4 linked regions of the Drosophila melanogaster genome follow. The protein of the gene in region 1 interacts with the protein of each later gene in a pairwise test. Each region holds a gene or a part of one and is shown on either strand. Other genes may lie near its edges. The genes, in order: CG1418, CG42597, ReepB and Dpm3.

Region 1 (4,809 bases):
AAGCTGTGGGAGGGGACCAGGTTCCCGCAGTGGCTGTGCACCACCCGAGCGGCAAAGCAATCCTGGTGGCTTCGCTCATGCTCCTTTTCGCCGGCTCTACCTTTGCCTTGGCTTTGATCTTTGCGCGGCGGAGGAAACGAGGTAACCAAGCGAACAGCTCCGCTACGCCCAGTGACTTGGTGTACCGAAAGCTGACTGCTTCCACCCAGAGTCTTGGCTGATCGGTAGTGCTAACTCCTCACTCAATGTCCTGTGTTGTGCTGTCACACTTAACTGATTTAGTGTCCTGTACTTATAAGCTCCAACCTGTTTACATTTGTATCCACAATTGAATCTCCCTATTTACGCTTTTTTTGGTGTCGTTAATTACACAGCATGTCCACTTCTTGTGTGTTCTGTATTCGTTGGCTTACTTTTCGTTCAACTTTATTGTAATTAAAATTTATACCGCATTTATATACAAATTATATACAACTTTTTATACAAAATACATAAGCATACAAACAAAATTTACGTTTATCCTTAAGTGTATTCTGTTTTCGTTTTTGGTTTGTTCCAGTGCACGCCAGATCGCAGATCTATGCATGAACTAAGAAGGGAATGGGGTGACTAGTGTTATTGCTCATATAAATCCCATGGTAATTGTTAGTTAATCAGTTGTACCAACATATCCCACAGGTTGCCTGCCTTTCGGAGCACGCGGTCGTCGCCACGCGTGGGAGAAAAGCGATGGCTTCAAGCTGGGCGGACTTCTCGATCGGGATCGCAACGGATTCGAGAAGCTGGACCAGCAGGCCAGCGACGAGGAGCAGGAGACGAAGACACTGGCGAGTGCCCAGTACGCCTAGGCGAAGGACCAAGACTTACGCAGCTAACAAAGCATTCCTAGTTCTAACTACCTGTACCTCATTGAAATACCGACTTAGTTTTACGCGAGCTATGTATATGTGTGTACTTTAGGTAACTTTATTTACCTTCCTTGTGGTGCATATCGCAGAGAATTCCGATCGTGGTGTATTTCTAGTTGATTTATTGAGCCGTTTGTTCAATGTATTTTAAACAGCTTATTTATGGAAACTTCTTTTGGAGAACCGACTATGCGATTTTTTTCCGGTTACTTATATTTATTCTTTATTTAAAAGAATACATTTTTAAAACGCATGCCTCTAAAGAGCTCGAAAATATCTGAAATATTGTAAGTGCCACAGAGTCCAATGACTTGACCACATCCTTTAAATTAATTTTTTTTTTCGAATTAAATCGAAGTTCTCAGCGAATGCGCCTCATATATTGCGATTAATTTGCCAAAAAGAATATAGTCGTATGAATCTGTCATAGTGTGTATTTCGATTATTTAAAGTCTGCGGCTTAACTAGATTTCGTTATAAATAGGTGTACAACATATTGTGTCGACTTGCAAGGCCCCATAGTGGCGAATATGTTTAGCCCCTTTCCTCGTCCCTGGTTGCCACGATCCCAGAAGACCTAGGGTTTAGCTTCTGGCTGGCGGTCAGACAACCTGGGCGAGGAAACCCTCATTCTCCTCCGTTACAATAGCATCGATGTTGTAGAATATAGCATGCATAGCAATCACGAAGCATGAAGCACCCAGCGTCCAAAACAAAACCGCACCCGCGCCCACCAGGAATAGCACTGGTGCCGTCGCCAGATTGAGTGCGATGATCTGCTGGCTGGGCGTCAGTTGTTGTCCCACGATGGTAATGTTACTGTTGCGCACGCGCAGCTTATGGCAGCCAAAAGCGGAAGCCAGGATGACCAGCAGAATGCAGGGAGCCGTGATGCTTAAGATTATAACTATTAAATGGGGTGCAATAAGGTTTTTAGAATCACTTACAGGCAGTATATCATCAGTACAAAAAAGATGAAAACGTAGTTGGCCTGAAAATAGGAGAGATTCCGAATAACCCGGCTATTTAGCCGCTGCATGCTGATGGCCGTTTTGAAATTGTTGATGTTGAAGAAGACTACCCAGGGCCGCAGGGAGTTTCGGACCATTTGGAAGATCTGCAGCGGTGATGGCAGGTTGGATAGCGAGGGCAGGCTGCAGGGTTCAAGAGTAATTAGCTATTCGCTCCTTGTTACGGTTTACTCACCTTTGCATGTCCACGGAGAACCTGCCTCCGGAAGGCGGTGGCGGCTGCATGTTACCGGATAGGTTCCCGCCAGTGTGTGCCATTTTGCTTGTGCTTTCCCAACCTCGTCCTAACACTTATCTTAGATACACGTCTTCGCTGCAATCTACAATTCTTCTTTCGACAAGTGTGGGCGTTCCACAAGTGTTATGTGTATCTTTGGATTCGTTCCACTTGGTCCAAGAACTGTCTTGAGGATGCTGCGGCGTTTGTAAAGCGGCGAGGACTTTAGCGGGGTCACTTCTACATGGAGGCGGCAACACTTTCGATGTTGATTTTACGATTCACTCTTAATTTGCTATGACATCGTTTTCTTTTGAGAAACAGTATACAAAGTTTGAAAAATCTGATGTGGCAGATAGTTCTAGGATTGCCGTTGCCGTGACGTGCGGTGTGGCCAGAGTTGCGAGTGCGCAAATTCTCGAAATCAACTGAAAACAAATCCAAAGCGCTGAATGCAATCAAACATTTAATACAAAACTTTTTCTCTAAACATTTGAATTATTTTTTAATGATATTTTTACACAAAACAATTATATTTTTCTACCTATTACTCGTGTAGTAGATGGTTATACTAGATTCGTTTAAAAATGTATATATTTTTGATATCCTTGTCTATTAACTTGAACTATTAAAGCTAGAAAGTTAAGATTAGAAATTCAGTTTCTTTCTGATGATGCAACGCCACAATTTAAAAAAATGAATCGATTTTTTTTCATTTTATTACTTGTCTTGCCAATTTCTAGAGCTATGCCAAAAACCTTTTACCACGCCCATTTTAACACTGAAATCTGCTACGTCTTCACTTTTATGTGTAGACATTTTTTAATTTTACTATTTGTTATCAGTATGGCAAAAGATATGTTGGATGCGCCCAAACCAAACCAAACCCACACTTTTAAAAAGTTACTTGCCTATTTTTCATCTTATTATTTTTTTTTCCAATTTGTATAGATAAGCCAAAATGAATGTTGAACTTTTCCACCAGCTGAGTAATTGGTATCTGATAGTCGAGGAACTGGACTATATAGTTCTCTCTGCTTAAAAATGTTTTCATCACAGAATTACTTATTATTTCTTTTAACAAGGCCAAACAAAGCAAACATATTAAGCAATTCTTTTAATTTCCTTTTATATAAGTAGGCGTAACGAAAGAAATTTTAAGAGTCTGCGTTGCTTTACAAGTAACAGGTAAGAATCGCGCTGATATTTTAAATATTTTTTGAACAATTTATTTGACGGATAACACAACATCCATTAAATTTTTCTCAGGTCTTCTGGCTAATACATACATATCTTATATTTCTTGTATCTTGTATACACACTCAGGTTAAATGTTACATTTCTATTTACATTTACCAACAAAGAGTTTTAGAAGTTAAGAGAGTTTTCATTTGCATTACCATTATGAATATAGACTATATAATAAAAGTTCTAACTTAGATATATTTACAGATATGGATTTTTGACGTCATAACATATTGCTGGTGTGACACAAGTGATAAGTATTTTTTCACAGTTCCGGTATGAATCAGATTTTTGATTTTAACTTAAAAAAATTGTGTCTTGAAATATTCAGAATGGATTTATATTTGTTTACGGAGATGGAAATTGATTATCATCTTTTTGTTCAACGGTATTTTGGGATTGTGGAGAAAGTAAAAAATAAATCTCGTTCTAGTCACGCGGTATCAGGGTGATGGTGTCCTTCATTTCCAAAAAACCTGTGAATGTATTCGAGTGTTGCGACTGTTAGATACCTGTTACTCAGTTTATGAACCTGCAACATATGGATATGTAGAATTTGAATAATTTGGCGTGTAGCAAGGATATAGCTCTGATCAATCTATTACTACAGTTTTGATATGTTTAAAAGTAGTAGGATTTGAACGTTTCCTGGTATCCAGAAGACTTTTAGGATGTGAGCGTTTTAGGAGTTTAGGGCGTAACAGGGGCGTGGCACGGTTTTAAAGAAAACTTACATGCTTCCTTACTCTTAATGTTTCCGACATCTCGACATTCATACGGACGGACAGGCAGGCCATTATAATTAACCCAAGGAAAGTTGTGGATTGGACATCGTGCCATGAATCATTTTAGCAATCGAGATAAGCTTGAACTTTTAAGACCAACTGGCTTTTGAATTCAGTATTCGGTTAGGCTTTGACATTTCAAGATGGTCTCGATCCATTTTTATTTGGCACTTTTGCTTCAAGCGATTTCCTTGGCGAATTCTTTCCAATTTGGTAAATAGTGGCAACTACAATACAATATACATATCTACAATTTCATCGGATCAGTGTCAGTGTTAAATATATACTTTGGCAGCTCACGGATCTATTTTTGGTCTCAACAATAATTAATACCTTATAATTACAAAATTGGAACTTCATTGGGTTGATTTCGCTACACAAAACTATAGTCTTACCAGGAAAATGCAATCTTTAATAGGATTTCATACAGTGTTACAAATGCTATTTTCGGCCATTTTGAGCTCCATTAATTGGTCAATTTTTGTTACCCCCCTTAGCAAAATTCAATTTTTGCCGACTAGACGAGATTTGCATCCCACTGAGCAAATGTGAACCTCTTATGAAGATTCTACATCCCCGGAACATGACAAACGATCAAAAATCACAGTACCGGAACAAACTAT
Region 2 (4,409 bases), on another chromosome or scaffold:
GTAACCACACCTTTCCAAGGTTTTTATACGCGTTAATCGTAGAATAAAAGGGTATACTAGATTCGTTGAAAACTATGTAACAGGCAGATGTAAGCGACGATATAAAGTATATATATTTGTAATCGGGATCAATTGGGAACTATAAAAGATAGAATGTTGAGATTCAGCGCAAAGATTCAAGAGGCACAGACCCATACAGTCAAATGTGTTGATATTTTTTCACATTTTTATTAGTCTTGTAAGATTTGAAATTTTTTAAAAATTTTGCCCATTTATTCCCCAACATCTATCGATATCCCAGAAAAATTTAGAAATTTCGCGTTCGCAGTTACTCTAGCTGAGTATCGGGTATCTGAGAGTGTTAACCCTAACCATAACCTGTTCTTTTTTGGTATAACCAAAGACATTACAATAGTGCCTTTGGTATAACCCACATATTTATACCCGTTACTTATAGAGTAAACGGGTATATTAGATTCGTGAAGTACGCAGAGTATGTATTGACCATAGAAACTATATATTTTCTTGGTCAGGATTACCAGCCGAGTCGATCTGGTCATGTCCTTCAGTCCGTCCGTCTGTCTGTTGGAACACCTCGATCTCAGGAACTTGAAAAGCTAGAAATTTGAAATAAGCAAGCAGGTTCCAGAGACACGCCCACAAAACCGAACAATTTCTATAGATATGTCAAAAAATACTATTGAACTTTCTTAATCACACACCAACTATCTGAGTAAAGGGTCTAAAATACTAGTTTGAAAAACTCAACTTTTCTCTTTTATCTCAAATTTTTTGAGTTTCGTGTTGTAGGATATACAATACATTAAGTAAACATAAGTAGCGCTTTTTATTACATAATGGCCCAAGAGAGAGTCAATCGCACATGTGTTCTTCACAGAGTTCGAGCCACTTTCTATGTTAATTGTTTGGTGGCACAAATGTTACTAATTACACCCACACCTTTAGCGCAACTGCAGCTTATGTTTCTCGAATTTTCTTGCCTAAGGGATCACGGATGTCCTTTTGTATAATAACCGTAAGACATGATTTGTTCGAAATCATTTTCTCCAACGGTAATTATTTCACTCAGATTCCATTTAAGCGCGCCCAAACAGTTAAATGTCTTACAAGTTTCCGCTCCCACCCGTGACATATTTAATTGCCCTATGGCTTCGAATCGAGACATTAGAAAAACCTGTTGTTCTTCTTAAGTAAAGGTCGTATGCTAACATTTACAAAGGTGCATCGCATCCTTTTGTGAATATCGAGCTTCATTAAGCATTGGGGTGCATAGATATCAAAGACTATATTTGACTATTTCACTGTTAAAAGAACAAAGAGATGGGTACTTGAAATTAGAGATAACCAATTTTTTTTTTTTGAGCACCCTTTTAATAAAAAAGTGCACATAAACTAGAAATGGTATCCCAAATTAATAGAAGGAACCGAAAACGATGTGGGTCCTTTTGCTTATTTAAAAGATTTCTGTTTGGACGAAGGACGACTTTGTTGTGTGATGATTCTCCAAGACTGTTGTGCCATTTTCCAAACTTTGGCCGGTCGATTTGTAATGGCACCCACTATCACTAAAAAGATAACTCCCAATAAAATCGTGCCGATCTCCTGGAAATTAGTGTTTGTACGGCTGCCCAGGCCCAACCAATTGGTTATAACATTTATAAAGTTGACGAGAAGCGTTTCCATGGAAAGCCATACGCCCACCATCAAAGTTTCGCCAATAAGGATGGCGATAATGGTCTCAAGGATAAACTTTCCCCACCGCGGAATGTTACTCCAGTGCGTGGGTATTACCTCTGTGTCGCACAGCAGATCCATCACTGATAAATAGAATAACTGGCTACCAAAGACGGGGGTGTCTGCAATTATACCCGGATCTAGATGTATGAAGAGCGTTGTGTGGAGCACCATGTGCACAACGAAGGCCAATAGAACAGGCGTGGGACTGGTCATTTCCTTAGAAAGGGATATTGGTTAACTATCGGGTATTGCCTGTATATAGACGTTAGAAGTGACTTGCCTGCGCGGTCTTGTAAATATGTATAAGTTACACAAATTTAGAATGAATAAGGTAAAAAAAACAAAACACATTGTTTTGTTTGTTTCAATTTAAAATGCTTGCTGGGTCGGAGAATAATTCCTGTATTGCGTTGGCAAGTTAAATGAAAACTTTAGGGACTTCAAAGTTGAAAACCAGCTGAACTCGTGGAAGACTAAAGCAGATAAAAAATTGATTGATTTTTATGAAGTCTACCTTACCTTTACCACTACCTTTTAAAACGGATTATACCTACTCCCTTATCTTTTGTAATATGTAATGTCAATATCTTTATGCGAGAGGTTAGTACGTGCTTCATTGTTCACTTTGCCTGTAAAAATTGGCTTTGGCACTGAATGTTTAATTCTGTCAGCTAAAAAATGCATAAATATCATTTTAATTAGAAAATTAGCCGAAAATATGCAGCTCACGTTAATCGTATGACGTCGTCGTCGTTGCTATAGTTGCAACATGGAAACGAAACTGAATCGCAATTGAAAACTTAGGTGGAGGGGATACGAATCTCATGCAATATCCAGAAGATACATCCCCAACGCACTCACCTCGAATGCGGAGCACCACTTCTGGCTCCACTCCGTGCTCCTAATACCGGAAATCATTTGCATTTTACTTAAATTAGTGTTTCTTGCAAACAATTGCTGTAGAATTATTTATATAGCAGTACCATTTAATTGTGCCGCCATTTTAAATTCCAATTAGATATCCAATGGAAGTCCGGCCAAAAGCCAACATCACTAAAAAGAAATTGGAATTTTTATCAAAGCAAGGAAGTCGTAAGCTCACTTTGATGAAGTTTTGTCATTTAGCCAAATAAGAATACGCGTACTGCTCGCCAGACCCACACAAAATGGTTCGCTTTTGTGTGCGCATATTTTTTTTCTCCTGCTAACTCAGTCACCTGTCGTGGATTCTAGCTTATTACGGTTTTTTGTGCTTATTGAACAGCCGCCACCAAAAATTCCAATATCAAAACTCATATTTGCCGATGTCGAGCGAAGCAAATTGAATGAGGAACACTGAACAGCTGCGAGAATTTAACATATTTGTAATATTACAAAAACTGCCAGTTGAATATCCGGTAGTTTTAGTATTAAAAAAAAGTTCATATAAATATGATTCCTGCTGAGGCCTACCTATGATTCGCATTTTTGAATAATTCATCGAATTTACAATTAAACTTTTTATACCCGATATTCGTAGAGTAAAAGTATAAAAAAATGGTTGAGCGCTTACGGACAAGACGTAAGATCGCAAATAAACTGGAGTCTGGTGGCAAAACAGCACATGCTTTTGAGCGATTATTGGCAATTCGCACCATTAAATTGAGCAAGGGAAAATGTTCCGAAGACAGTGCAGAGCAGACGAAGTCTAGTGATGATTGCAAGGCACAAACGCGTAAGGATGTAAATATCGAGGTCAAAGAGACTTATTCCGGCGATTCCTCGCCTAACAGTGAGAGCGAGAATACAGCCCAAAACGATCCGCAAACGAACGTTGAAAGCGATGAACGCGTATCCAACCTGGAACAGCTGAGTCGAGCAGTGTTAAAACGGAACGACATAAAGAACTTACTGGGTAAACCTATTTTCGCGGAGGCTGTGATTGGATCCTTTGTGCGGCTAAATGTTGGAAAAGTCTACTCCATCTACGAAACTATTGCTCTGCATCAGGACAGTAAGGACTACCGGGTAGACGGTAAGCGTACCAATCTGATCCTGGTCTTGAGGTGCGGTTCCGAAAAGCGTTATTCACGTATAGACGTGGTTTCAAATCAGCCAATTACACAAAAGGAATTCTTGTTGTGGTTGGGAACCAATCTACGCCATCGATGCACTTCACCAACGCTTAATGACAACGCTTCCAAATTTTAACCAAGAAACATAAAAAAATAATAAACTTATAACATTTTCGAAAATTGTGGCCGCTGCGGCTTTTCTGTGGATTGTAGGCGTTATGGTGGACGCCGAGTGGGTGTGACGTTAGAGTGGGTGTGCCCAATATGTTTTTGGTATATCGATACCCGGTACTCAGCTAAAAGTATGAACGAGATATTTTAATACTTTTTTGGAACAATATGCAAAAAAGAAGATAGAATGCTATAGTCGACTTCCCCGACCATCAGATACCCATTACTCAGCTAGTGTGAATACAAACGCGAAATTTCATAATTTTTCTGGGATATTGATAGATATTGGGGAATAAAATGAGAACACATTAAAAATTGTTCAAAAGTGTGGGCGTGACCGGTTTGGCGGCTTTAGGGCGTTAGATTATACGTGGAAAATGTTTTTTGACAAATCGATGGAAATTTAAGCAACTTATAAAATTATGA
Region 3 (6,071 bases), 4.2 Mb from region 1:
ATAAAATATCGGGATGTCTCTATCGCCAGCCAGTGGCATTGGTCGTTTCTACGCCAAGTCGGCAAAAATCATACGTTTCGTACGCCTGGGATGCACCAATCGGCCTTTTTATCACATTGTCGTCATGGAGGTGCGTACTTTTAGGCCATTAAAATGGTTAAAACTTTTAATTGGTAATTGTATTTTCCGGTTTAGAGGCGCAAGAACCAGCACCAGCCTGTCATCGAGCAGGTGGGCTCCTTTGATCCCCTGCCCAACGATTACAACGAACGACTGGTGGCCCTGAACACGGAGAGAATTCGCTATTGGCTGGGCAAAGGTGCACACTTGTCCACGCCGGCTGCAGAACTCCTGGGAATTGCCGGACTACTGCCCATCCACCCGCGCACCTACATGACCGCCTGGCGGAACCGGAGGACAGCTGCTGAAGCGGAGGCGTCGCCAGAAAAGGCGGAATCAACCGCATAAATATAGTTGTGCCTCAATAAAAGCCTCCTTTTCGTTTTTACGTTTAACAAACGGAGATTTCTTCTGGTTCAGCGAACACTGGTGCTCTTATCAACAACAAAATGAATACAGAATTAAAATTTATTGCAAAACGTAACCAATACGAGGTGAGGTTGGTGACCAGGCCCAAAACCAAATGCATGGATAAGCGAGAAGCGGTCGGAGCTACGGTACATTCGCCTTCTAGTCATGCTTCAGCACTCCAGCGGCTTTCTTCATGCCATCATCGATGATCCTGTCAACGGCTGTGTGCAAATATTGATCTCCTTTTAGTAAAATTGCAATATCTAAGAGGTGAATTTACTCACATTCGTGATGTTTCAGGAAGTAGGGTCGCACCAGCTTGTTGTAGATGATGGTAGAACCATTCTGTTCCGTGGGCAGCATGCACCAGATGAGGAAAGCACACTACATGTGGAGTTGAAGCATTTAAAAGAAGATTCTTATATGTGAAGAATGCAAAGCTCACCTTCAGCAGCCAGTAAAAGGGAATCACCGAAGTTAGCAGACTCGAAAAGAATTCAATCACGGTGAAGATTCCAAACGTGACCCAGTAGATCAGCCACTTGGTGTCGTCCTGCTTTGTGCTGGACTCGATGGCATGGATGGAAATATATGCAGGGTACAGAACCCCAATGATGTTGCACAGTAGTTGGGCGCCCCAGCCAAAGATCAGGTAGATGGCGCACAGACCAACAGCACCTACATATGATGAAATATAATACCTTATTAGTAAATAGCATTAAGTCACTGCTGGAGCTCTACCGTAGCGCAGGAGGGGGTTCTCTACGAACAGTTGGACAATTTTGCTCTCTAATTCCTCGACTGCCATGTTCGCCATCTAGTTGGTCAATTGATATTGCCCTAGTGGCGCATTTTCCCTTATGGCTATAAGCAGGTCCAAGGGCAGGAGCGGTTCCACAGGGCGCAGGGTGATCAGATGGAGTTAACACTTACAAACTTTAGCTACAAGACTAACTGTTCCAAGGGCACAGTGCCAGGTGCTCGTACAGCTTTCAAGGGCGCCCCTTCGTGGATCCCTGGGGTTTTTAAACCGCCCCATGCCGTTGGCTAATTATAAACCCTTAGCTGTTGTCAGTAGATGTCTCGACCTGCCTCTGATCCCGGCCAGTTGCATTTTGCCCACCCAGATGAGCGGACTACGGCCTGTTGTTTTGCCATAAATTTATGATGTCATTCATGCTCGATGGCGGCTAATTATATTTATACCCTGGCTGAGGGTACTTTAATTTGAGCAACATCATTGCAAAAAGGTGGGTTTCATTACAAGCCACAGAAACTATATCCTTAGTCGATCAGATCATTTGATGTGAATTGCGAATTCTCCATAAATGGTTGTTCCCTAATATGCATATATTTGTTTACACAATTTGTTTTGATTATTAAAGTATGCCGAACTGTTGAACAGCTAATGAGGCCAAATGTTTGTATGATGAATCAACGTCCGTCATTTTTGCAAGTGTATATAGACTTCGGTTTTGAAAGATAGCTACTTTTGCCATTATGACCACATTCTCACCTATGCCGAGGTAAACCAAGGGAACTCTGACATTGCGCCGCGTCTCCTGTCGCTGTCTGATTAGCATAATATAGTCCCAGAGCCACATCGGTAACTCCGGTGAGCACCGAACGAACGAACTGAAAGCTCTACCAACGCACACAGGTGAGTGAGTAGATTGGCTCCACGTGTGCCGACAGCGCCACGTCTCAATAATTCAGACCTTTTGACCCCGCCGAACTGGACTTTCTCCAGATCTTCGTCTAGAGAATATGGCAATGGAATGCGCCAAATGTATTGCTCACCGCGTACTGGGCAAAAAAAAGTGTACTTTCGTTGAAGTAAACAAAGAAAAGCACAAAACATGAAACTTTTGTGGATAACAGACGCACACATCGCCAGCTGTCTACGTAGTCGCTTACACGCACACATCGCATGCTCACAAACTGAGGTGTATTGGTTGCAGGCACTCGGTGATAATATAGACACACTATTTAATTGGGCTTTGCCGTTTAAGTCGTCTGTTTAATTCGTTAATTGGTCACCTGGCGGCTATTAAGCCCCCCCGACCATCCTGATTCAGCCACATACACATTGCTATATATAACAGGTTGCTATTTATAAGCATCCCGAAATATTCCACTGCATCTCTAGGCTAATCTCAATGGTTACGCAGTCAACTAGCAGAAGGTTACATGGGCGTTTCGGCGAAGGACATGCGATGACGTCGCCAGGATATTCCACACTCACCCACGAAAATATTGACCCGGTCCACGCCGGTCTTCTCCTCCACGGTATCGAAGACTTTGGTCCACGGCTTGGAAGCATCGCGCAGCGATTTGCTCACGTCATCCTTGTAGCCGTTTAAGAACTGCTTCACCTGAGTGGCCATTTTGCGCAAATTGTTTTTAAATATATATAGTCAATCAAAAATATGTGACGCCGCCGACTTTCCAGATGCCAGTCGATAGTTTGTGCTTGCGCCTATCGGTGCCAAATGGACTATTGACAATCGAAGACATGATGCGTTATTGTTCGCATCTATCGCCGCCTATCGATAAGGAGAGGTCATACTAAAATTGCAATACTGGCGGCTTTTTCTTTTTCACAGTAAATATTTGCAAACAGCAAATAATTATTTTAAGCTTTTATTAGAAAGGTAAATATGTTATGCAGCAAATTACATAAGAAAAAAAACTTATAGCAGTTGACGTGCATTCAATGGTAAACTCATGGGATCATTTTTGATGAACAATTTTATTATTTATAAAATTATAAATTTTAGGATTGTCACATCGTGGGACTTAACAATTGTATGCGAGGATTTACAGTAATCTAGTTGGCTCCATGAGGACTGGACTCTTCAGTTTCTGCGCTGGGAGAAAACATAACGATCTCGCAAATGGAGCAACTTTTCAAAAAACACAAATGTCAAGGTGGTGTGTGGAGCACTACGAAAGTATATGGGCCAAAAGCCCTTGTACATCCCATGGATCCCTTCGGTTCTCCAGATTTTAGTGAAACAGTCCACCAAGCCCTTGTACATGAGTCCACGCCCCTTTTCATCCACTGGCTGGTTGTACATCCGTGTGGTGAGCACATCAAAGGGCGAATTGGCCACTGCCACAAGGGTTCCCGACGATAGGCCGGCACAGAAGGAGAGGAGAACCGGATGGGTGATCCAGCCTTTATCCTTCAGAAGGGACTTGGCTTTGGGAAAGGTGCCGATCTGTACACTGGAGGCCACAAGCGTTCGGTTCAAGCTTGGTAAAGCAGCGCGCCAGAATCCTGAAATGCCATTGGTCCGGTAAATATGCAGCAGGGCATCCATCATCGAAGTATGCTTGTGCTGAAAGCCTACGGCAATGGACTGAACCGCCTGGGCATGCTGTTGGGCCTTTATCTGTAATGGAGGGAGATCAGATGGGAAGCTCTAGCGGATCTACTCACCATGTAGAAGGGGCTGGCGAAATAGGTGCCCGTGCAGCCGCCCAGAGCTCCAAAGAACATGCCCCGATAGAAGGATATGGAGCCATCCGCATTCTGCAAGTATCCCAGCTCCAATGCGTTCGAATATACACTTAGCCTACCATAAGGAAAGGGTATTTACACTGCAATTTGCTTAGGGTAACTATTTTCAATGATGAACGTAACGACTTATCTTAAATGTCCATTACTTCACAGTGTTAGATAAGATAAGCATGCATTTCACATTAATTCATGGTGCTTGTAATTACACTACTTAGCATTGCATAATTTTACGGCCACTTTTATATAAACTTTGTTTAAATCTACCTCTAATATTCGTATAAAGTTCAAAGATTTTGATGTTTATGGATGGCAACAAGTGTCCTTTACAATGCACTTGCCTGACCGAGTTGAGGACAAATTGATAACATAATGCCGGAGCGAGACCCTTCTCCAAAGCAAGGAGTCCGTCGTTGAGGACTATCTGCAGCATGGCCTGGGGGAGATGCCTGTAGGGCTTCACATAGGTTCCTCGGGCAGCCAACTCTCCCTGCAGCTGCATCCGCGTCTTGACCACATCGATGGGATTGGTGAACACCACCGCACCCATCGCTGCCGTTCCGCCCAGCACGAAATCCGACTTGGTCATGTTTTCACCCCAAACTTTGGATTTGGTTGATCTTACGTTAACATTTTGTTTACTCTTTGGTCGACAGACCGATTGTTACATTTATCGAATTAATGGCATACATTTTAATGCTTTAATGATTTAAATGCTCACTTGGCGGAATAATTTAAATATTTGAACTCTTGTATTTGGTGTTTAAAAATTAAAATTCGCTTAAGAAAGAAATTAGTATTTGTAATTAATGAATTTTTTATTCAAAAATATTGGTAAAATTCTTATTGAATTATTAATTAGTGACCAAAACAAATAAATCACTTTGAGAAAAGGTCATAATACATTTATTATTGCTTGTTAAATATCAACATTAATTTATCGATAGTTACACGTATGGATATCGATAATTTCGCGGACGGTTAAGAATGGATTATAAGGACTTTACTTAACCACGCTCGTAGCCAAAGAATAAAATATAAATAAATACATTTTTATTTTCTCTTTTAACTTGTTTAAATCTTTACTTACCCTCTTCAGAGGATCAAATTGAAATTGTTATTTTGATGAAATATCCGGGAAACGGATATGCTACTAGAACGTAACTTCCAAATACTAAGCTAACGAAAGTAAAACAACTTCGTATGGTTTTGCATTTCAAAGAGCCCCGCTCGTGTTAAATAATTTTCGTTTAGTAGTGAAGATCGTACTTTTCCCTCAGCGCAATTAGTTCGTCAAAGAACAAAAGCACCAACGTGGAATATGGAGCACTCCTCAGATAAATGGGCCAAAAGCCCTTGTACAACCCATATACACCCTCCGATCTTAGGATCGTAAGCACACAATCCAACCAGCCCCTGTAGTAAATGCCACGACCTTGGGCATCAACTCCCTGATTGTAAAGACGAGTGGTAACCACATCCAATGGAGTGATTGCCAGCGAGACAAATGACCCAGCGGCTAAGCCAGAGCAAAAGGACAGGATTGTGGGATGAGTTACCACTCCGTTTTCCTTCAACAAACTCTTGGCCTGGCCAAAAACTGCGATTTGAACGGCGGACGCAACAGTGGCACGGCTCACATTCGCCAACGATCCTCGCCAGAGTCCAAAGACGCCGTTCTTCCTGTATATCTTCCTAATCGCATCGCTCATCGAGGCGTGCTGATGCTGATAACCAACGGCGATCTGCTTGGCTGCCTGTGCCTGAAGTTGCGTCTTGATCTAGAATGGAAATGTAGCTATCAGTGATGCCTTATCTTATCACGGCTAGACATTGTCACATATTCGCGGAAGCAGACACCTTCAGTGTTTGATTTACATAATCGCTTACCAGGAAGAAGGGACTGGCACAATAGGAACCCACAACGCCGCCCAAAGCGCCCCAGAACATGCCCTTTGCGAATGAGATCTCGCCCTTGTTGTTGTGGACCCAACCCTTCTCTACGGCATGGGTGTAT
Region 4 (3,769 bases), on another chromosome or scaffold:
TTCGGAGTGCCCCTGACACGCTTGGCTGTTGTGTAATGGCTTAGTTGGCCCCGTTGGCTGATTTTTCGCTAGTTTGGCGAAGGGTTTTTCCGAGCCGGAAACTCACCTTAGCGGCACTATAAGCCGTGGCAATCAGGCAGCTCATCAAGAGGCACACAGCGGCGATTTTGTGACTCATCTTCAGGCTTCTCGTTCTTCAGAATTTCTTATAAATGCAGTTATATAGCCAGCACGTAACGAACGGCGGTCGTGTTGTTAGCGGTTCGGTGGCTGAGCGCGAACTGTTGATTGTTGTAGAGAGCTTGACGCTTAAACCGCCGTTCCAGTTCCAGTCGGCCATTAGAAAGCCGATTTCCAGACTGCCCAACCATGAGTAAATAAATGTACTATCTTTTTTATCATCAACTATGTATTATCTTCTTGAAATTTATTTCTATTTTCAAACTATTGTCCGCCATTAAAAAAAAAATTACACAAATTAACTTCAAATGGCTATTAATCGGTTTATATTGGATCTTTTGAGTATCACAACATTCAGCTTCGCAATTATAACTCCTTCCAGTATTTTGCAGAAGAGAAAATTAAAGTTTTGAAACAGTATATTTTTTTCTCTTTCGCATTGTAATTAAGAGAATTTTAAAAAAATTGATTTATTGGAAATAGATAGCCAAAGCATGGATTTGCAATATATGGTTCGCACTTACGAGTTTTCCATATACCATGTTCATTAAGTAAAAATATGTTTTCCGTAAAGAATATTATTAATCTCTTTAAACGTATTTTACCTCATATACTTTTTTAGTTTTCTTATATTTTTTATTTTGAGTAATTCACAGGGGAGCTAAGCCAATTAAACATAAACATATTCCATACTTTTTCAAGCATATCCTTTCAAAACCTCAACATAATTTGGCCACCAAACTTCCGACACCTGGGGAAATCAGCCCCCAACAACGCGTCCGCCCACACAAAATGCGGTCTAGAGTAAATTTGCGTAATTTTTGTTTTTATAAATAATGGAATTACAGATTAACATGCACAAGTCCTACGAGCTGGAAGTCTCCTAATCTCGAAACCGAAATCCCTTGGCTATCAAATCCTTGCGAGCCTCCTGAATTTCATCCTGCAGCTCCTTGGCGGCCTCGGGACAATCGTTAAAAGTCAGAGTTCTATATAGAACAGTCCAAACGGAATATATCTGTGGGTAATATATAGTAGTAGTCAATAAGAGGTGTTATCTGCATTGATTCATATCCAAAAACTCACTCCAAAAATCACGAGGAGCAAAAGTGGTAAAAGCTGAATGTGCAGGAAATACTTGGTAGTTAGTGGCGTTTGCACTGTTCCCAAAACAACGGAGAGATAGGGAATCGCAAAGAGCGATGCGTAAAATAGCCAGCGTTGTAGATTTGTCATAGCTAACGAAATTTATTGGTAAACAAAACTAAACCGAAAATAAAGTTCTACACGTAAACATAGAGCTGGAACTTAAGCCGATGGTCACCCGGTAATTCGATATCGATATTTACCGGCTACTATCGATAGGAGGTTTACCTATTCAAATCTAGTTAGAGGTTTTCCTATTCATGTCTAGTTGGAGATTTTCTAATTAGTAATTCGTAGCCTGACGGCTTCCAGTTAGACATTGTTTACTTTTCTAATTGGCTAACTTAAGTGTGACCAAGCCCTAAGCACGTGCCATAGCACAAAGCTATCCACAGTCAGCAAATCAAATGCCATACTACTCAGCTAAACACAGTCAGCAATTTATCGATAGATCAAAGTTGCGCCATAACAGCCAGCCTTCTACAGCCAGCAATTTAAATCAGAGTAATCGATTGACGCAGTTTCAAACTTGTTAAAACTAAGTTTTAATTAAACGTTGGTGGGCGTGGTTTCTGCGGCGCCCACTGTACACGGCGTGTTGGCAAGCAGGTCAGCGGTTCGGCAGCCAATTATTTGGAACTTGACCTCGTTCGCGGGCAAGTCGCCGCCAACAAAGAGTTTCGGCTGGCTGCTCAAGGCCCACAGCTCCTCCTCTCCCTTGGAATTCCTGTTGATCTTGAGGCCCGTGACGAACTTGATCTTGTGCGGATTGTAGGCCACCACACGCAGGTCATCCGCCGTGTAGTTGGACACGGACTCCTCCCATTTCACCAGCGCCCCTAAACTGATGAGGCTGCAGTAGAGATTCCCCGACTGATCCATCACCTCCGATTCGCACTGGATTCCTCGGGTGCCCAGGCTGTGGAAGCTATCCCTGCTGGCATTCGCAGACTTCCAGAAGGTCTCGTTGTTGATCAGGGAGAGCGGAACCCTCATCTCATTAAAGGAGTTCAGCGTGTGAAAGTACAGAAAGCGGTCTGTAAATTTGCATTGGAAATTATAAATAATTTTTGAGTATTTAGAATTTAAATTGAATAGCTACCTTCCACTTCGCTGGGACTGAGGCTCACTGTAAATATTCCCGCCTGCGAGTTGCTGGAGCGTCCTAATCTCAGCAAGGGCGACGGCTTCATGGACTCATGCTCTATGCGCCAGGATCGTCCCGTCAGGGAGTCAAACACGATTAGACCATAACCCCAGGCATCGGCTATATACGCTCTGCCGCCAACACATCGGTTGGGTGTGCCCCTCTCGGCCAGATCCACCACCAAAGCCGTGAAGATGGATACGCTGGGAATGTAGGAATCGGGCGGAAGTGCGTGTCGTTGGACTAGTTCGTCCTTCACCAAATCAAATGTGAGAATTTGTGGCGGGCACAACTGCAGGGAGTTTACCTGCCCTGAATCCACCACCCAGAGTCGCCAGCACTCGTCGATCTGGGAGAAAACGATAAATATTCATGAAATATCTTCTGTTGGGAAAATATGCTTTATTACTTACATAAGTCCTAATGGCTGAGGTGATGCCGGAGCAATTGTTGGGTGGCACGTGCCACTCCTCGTTGGGATACGGTTCCAGTCTGGGATTCTCCACCAGCTCATTGTGCTCCGCAATGACGGTGGCCAGTGTGAAGGGTGTGGCCATCCCCAGTCGCGGAATCGTGAGAAAGGTGCGATGCCTGCCCTCATCGCCGTACTCAATGTCCACATCCACCGGCAGAAAGCGATTGCCCTTGGACAGATCGTCGCCCAAACTGAGGTTCGTCCACTGATGCAGGGTGTGCAGCTCCTTGAGGACCAATGCCTGGCCCTGGACTGCACAAAATAATGCGAGCAGGACGACCAACATGGCTATCAAATGAGAACCTGCTAAGTGACAGTTCCGCGCGGTTCAAACGATTGCCGAAGACTAAAGATGTGCAGGTAGGCCCTAAAGTTCTTAGCCTTCAATCTCAAAGTGCACTCAGAGAAACTTAAGCTATGTGGTAATAGAACAAATGTTGCAATACATTTAAGTCCTATCATTGCTAAATCCAAAGATAAGAATCTTTATTTAATGATTTATTACTTATAATTTTATAAATGCGAATGAATGTAAAAATTTAACACGACCTCAGCACTTATTAAGTGAAAAGAATAAGAAAGCTGATAAAGAGTGTTTGGCATTTTGGTATTTATTTTTGCGAGTGTAACATGGACCATCAAACCCAAAGACAAAGGTCGTGTACCTGTGGCGGTCAAGCAAACACTTTCGAATCGTCCCAAGATTTATAGATGGACATCTTTTATGTCGGCTTTAAAAGTATTTACACAGATCTCGAGGGTGTCTGGGCATTAGGAATTGGGCACCTAAAAGCAGCCCCGCCCCTGCAACAGGTCATCAA

What was found.
Region 2: the proteins of CG1418 (region 1) and CG42597 interact in a two-hybrid assay, tested with the Drosophila melanogaster proteins (one large-scale study listed by BioGRID).
Region 3: the proteins of CG1418 (region 1) and ReepB interact in a two-hybrid assay, tested with the Drosophila melanogaster proteins (one large-scale study listed by BioGRID).
Region 4: the proteins of CG1418 (region 1) and Dpm3 interact in a two-hybrid assay, tested with the Drosophila melanogaster proteins (one large-scale study listed by BioGRID).

The regions. Positions count from the first base shown.
Region 1 is NT_033778.4:9,962,520-9,967,328, forward strand, and holds CG1418 (uncharacterized protein), read right to left. Parts: upstream 2,549-4,809; 5' UTR 2,198-2,548; coding exon 2,115-2,197; intron 2,063-2,114; coding exon 1,856-2,062; intron 1,803-1,855; coding exon 1,511-1,802; 3' UTR 1,316-1,510; downstream 1-1,315. Other genes in the region: Pal1 (Peptidyl-alpha-hydroxyglycine-alpha-amidating lyase 1), read left to right, coding at 1-141, 679-848; CG12133 (uncharacterized protein), read left to right, coding at 4,746-4,809.
Region 2 is NT_033779.5:22,063,223-22,067,631, forward strand, and holds CG42597 (uncharacterized protein), read right to left. Parts: upstream 2,122-4,409; 5' UTR 2,039-2,121; intron 1,975-2,038; 5' UTR 1,972-1,974; coding exon 1,471-1,971; 3' UTR 1,382-1,470; downstream 1-1,381.
Region 3 is NT_033778.4:14,167,428-14,173,498, reverse strand, and holds ReepB (receptor expression enhancing protein B), read right to left. Parts: upstream 3,038-6,071; 5' UTR 2,919-3,037; coding exon 2,777-2,918; exon of another isoform or gene 2,582-2,776; intron 2,340-2,581; exon of another isoform or gene 2,136-2,339; coding exon of another isoform or gene 2,048-2,135; intron 1,711-2,047; exon of another isoform or gene 1,340-1,710; coding exon of another isoform or gene 1,273-1,339; intron 1,210-1,272; coding exon 977-1,209; intron 916-976; coding exon 816-915; intron 753-815; coding exon 691-752; 3' UTR 501-690; downstream 1-500. Other genes in the region: mRpS16 (mitochondrial ribosomal protein S16), read left to right, coding at 14-130, 196-468; CG18324 (uncharacterized protein), read right to left, coding at 3,390-3,929, 3,977-4,112, 4,396-4,643; CG18327 (uncharacterized protein), read right to left, coding at 5,305-5,835, 5,945-6,071.
Region 4 is NT_033777.3:13,401,573-13,405,341, forward strand, and holds Dpm3 (Dolichyl-phosphate mannosyltransferase subunit 3), read right to left. Parts: upstream 1,480-3,769; 5' UTR 1,417-1,479; coding exon 1,267-1,416; intron 1,199-1,266; coding exon 1,064-1,198; 3' UTR 987-1,063; downstream 1-986. Other genes in the region: GILT1 (Gamma-interferon-inducible lysosomal thiol reductase 1), read right to left, coding at 107-178; yellow-e3, read right to left, coding at 1,876-2,363, 2,429-2,822, 2,887-3,234; yellow-e2, read right to left, coding at 3,735-3,769.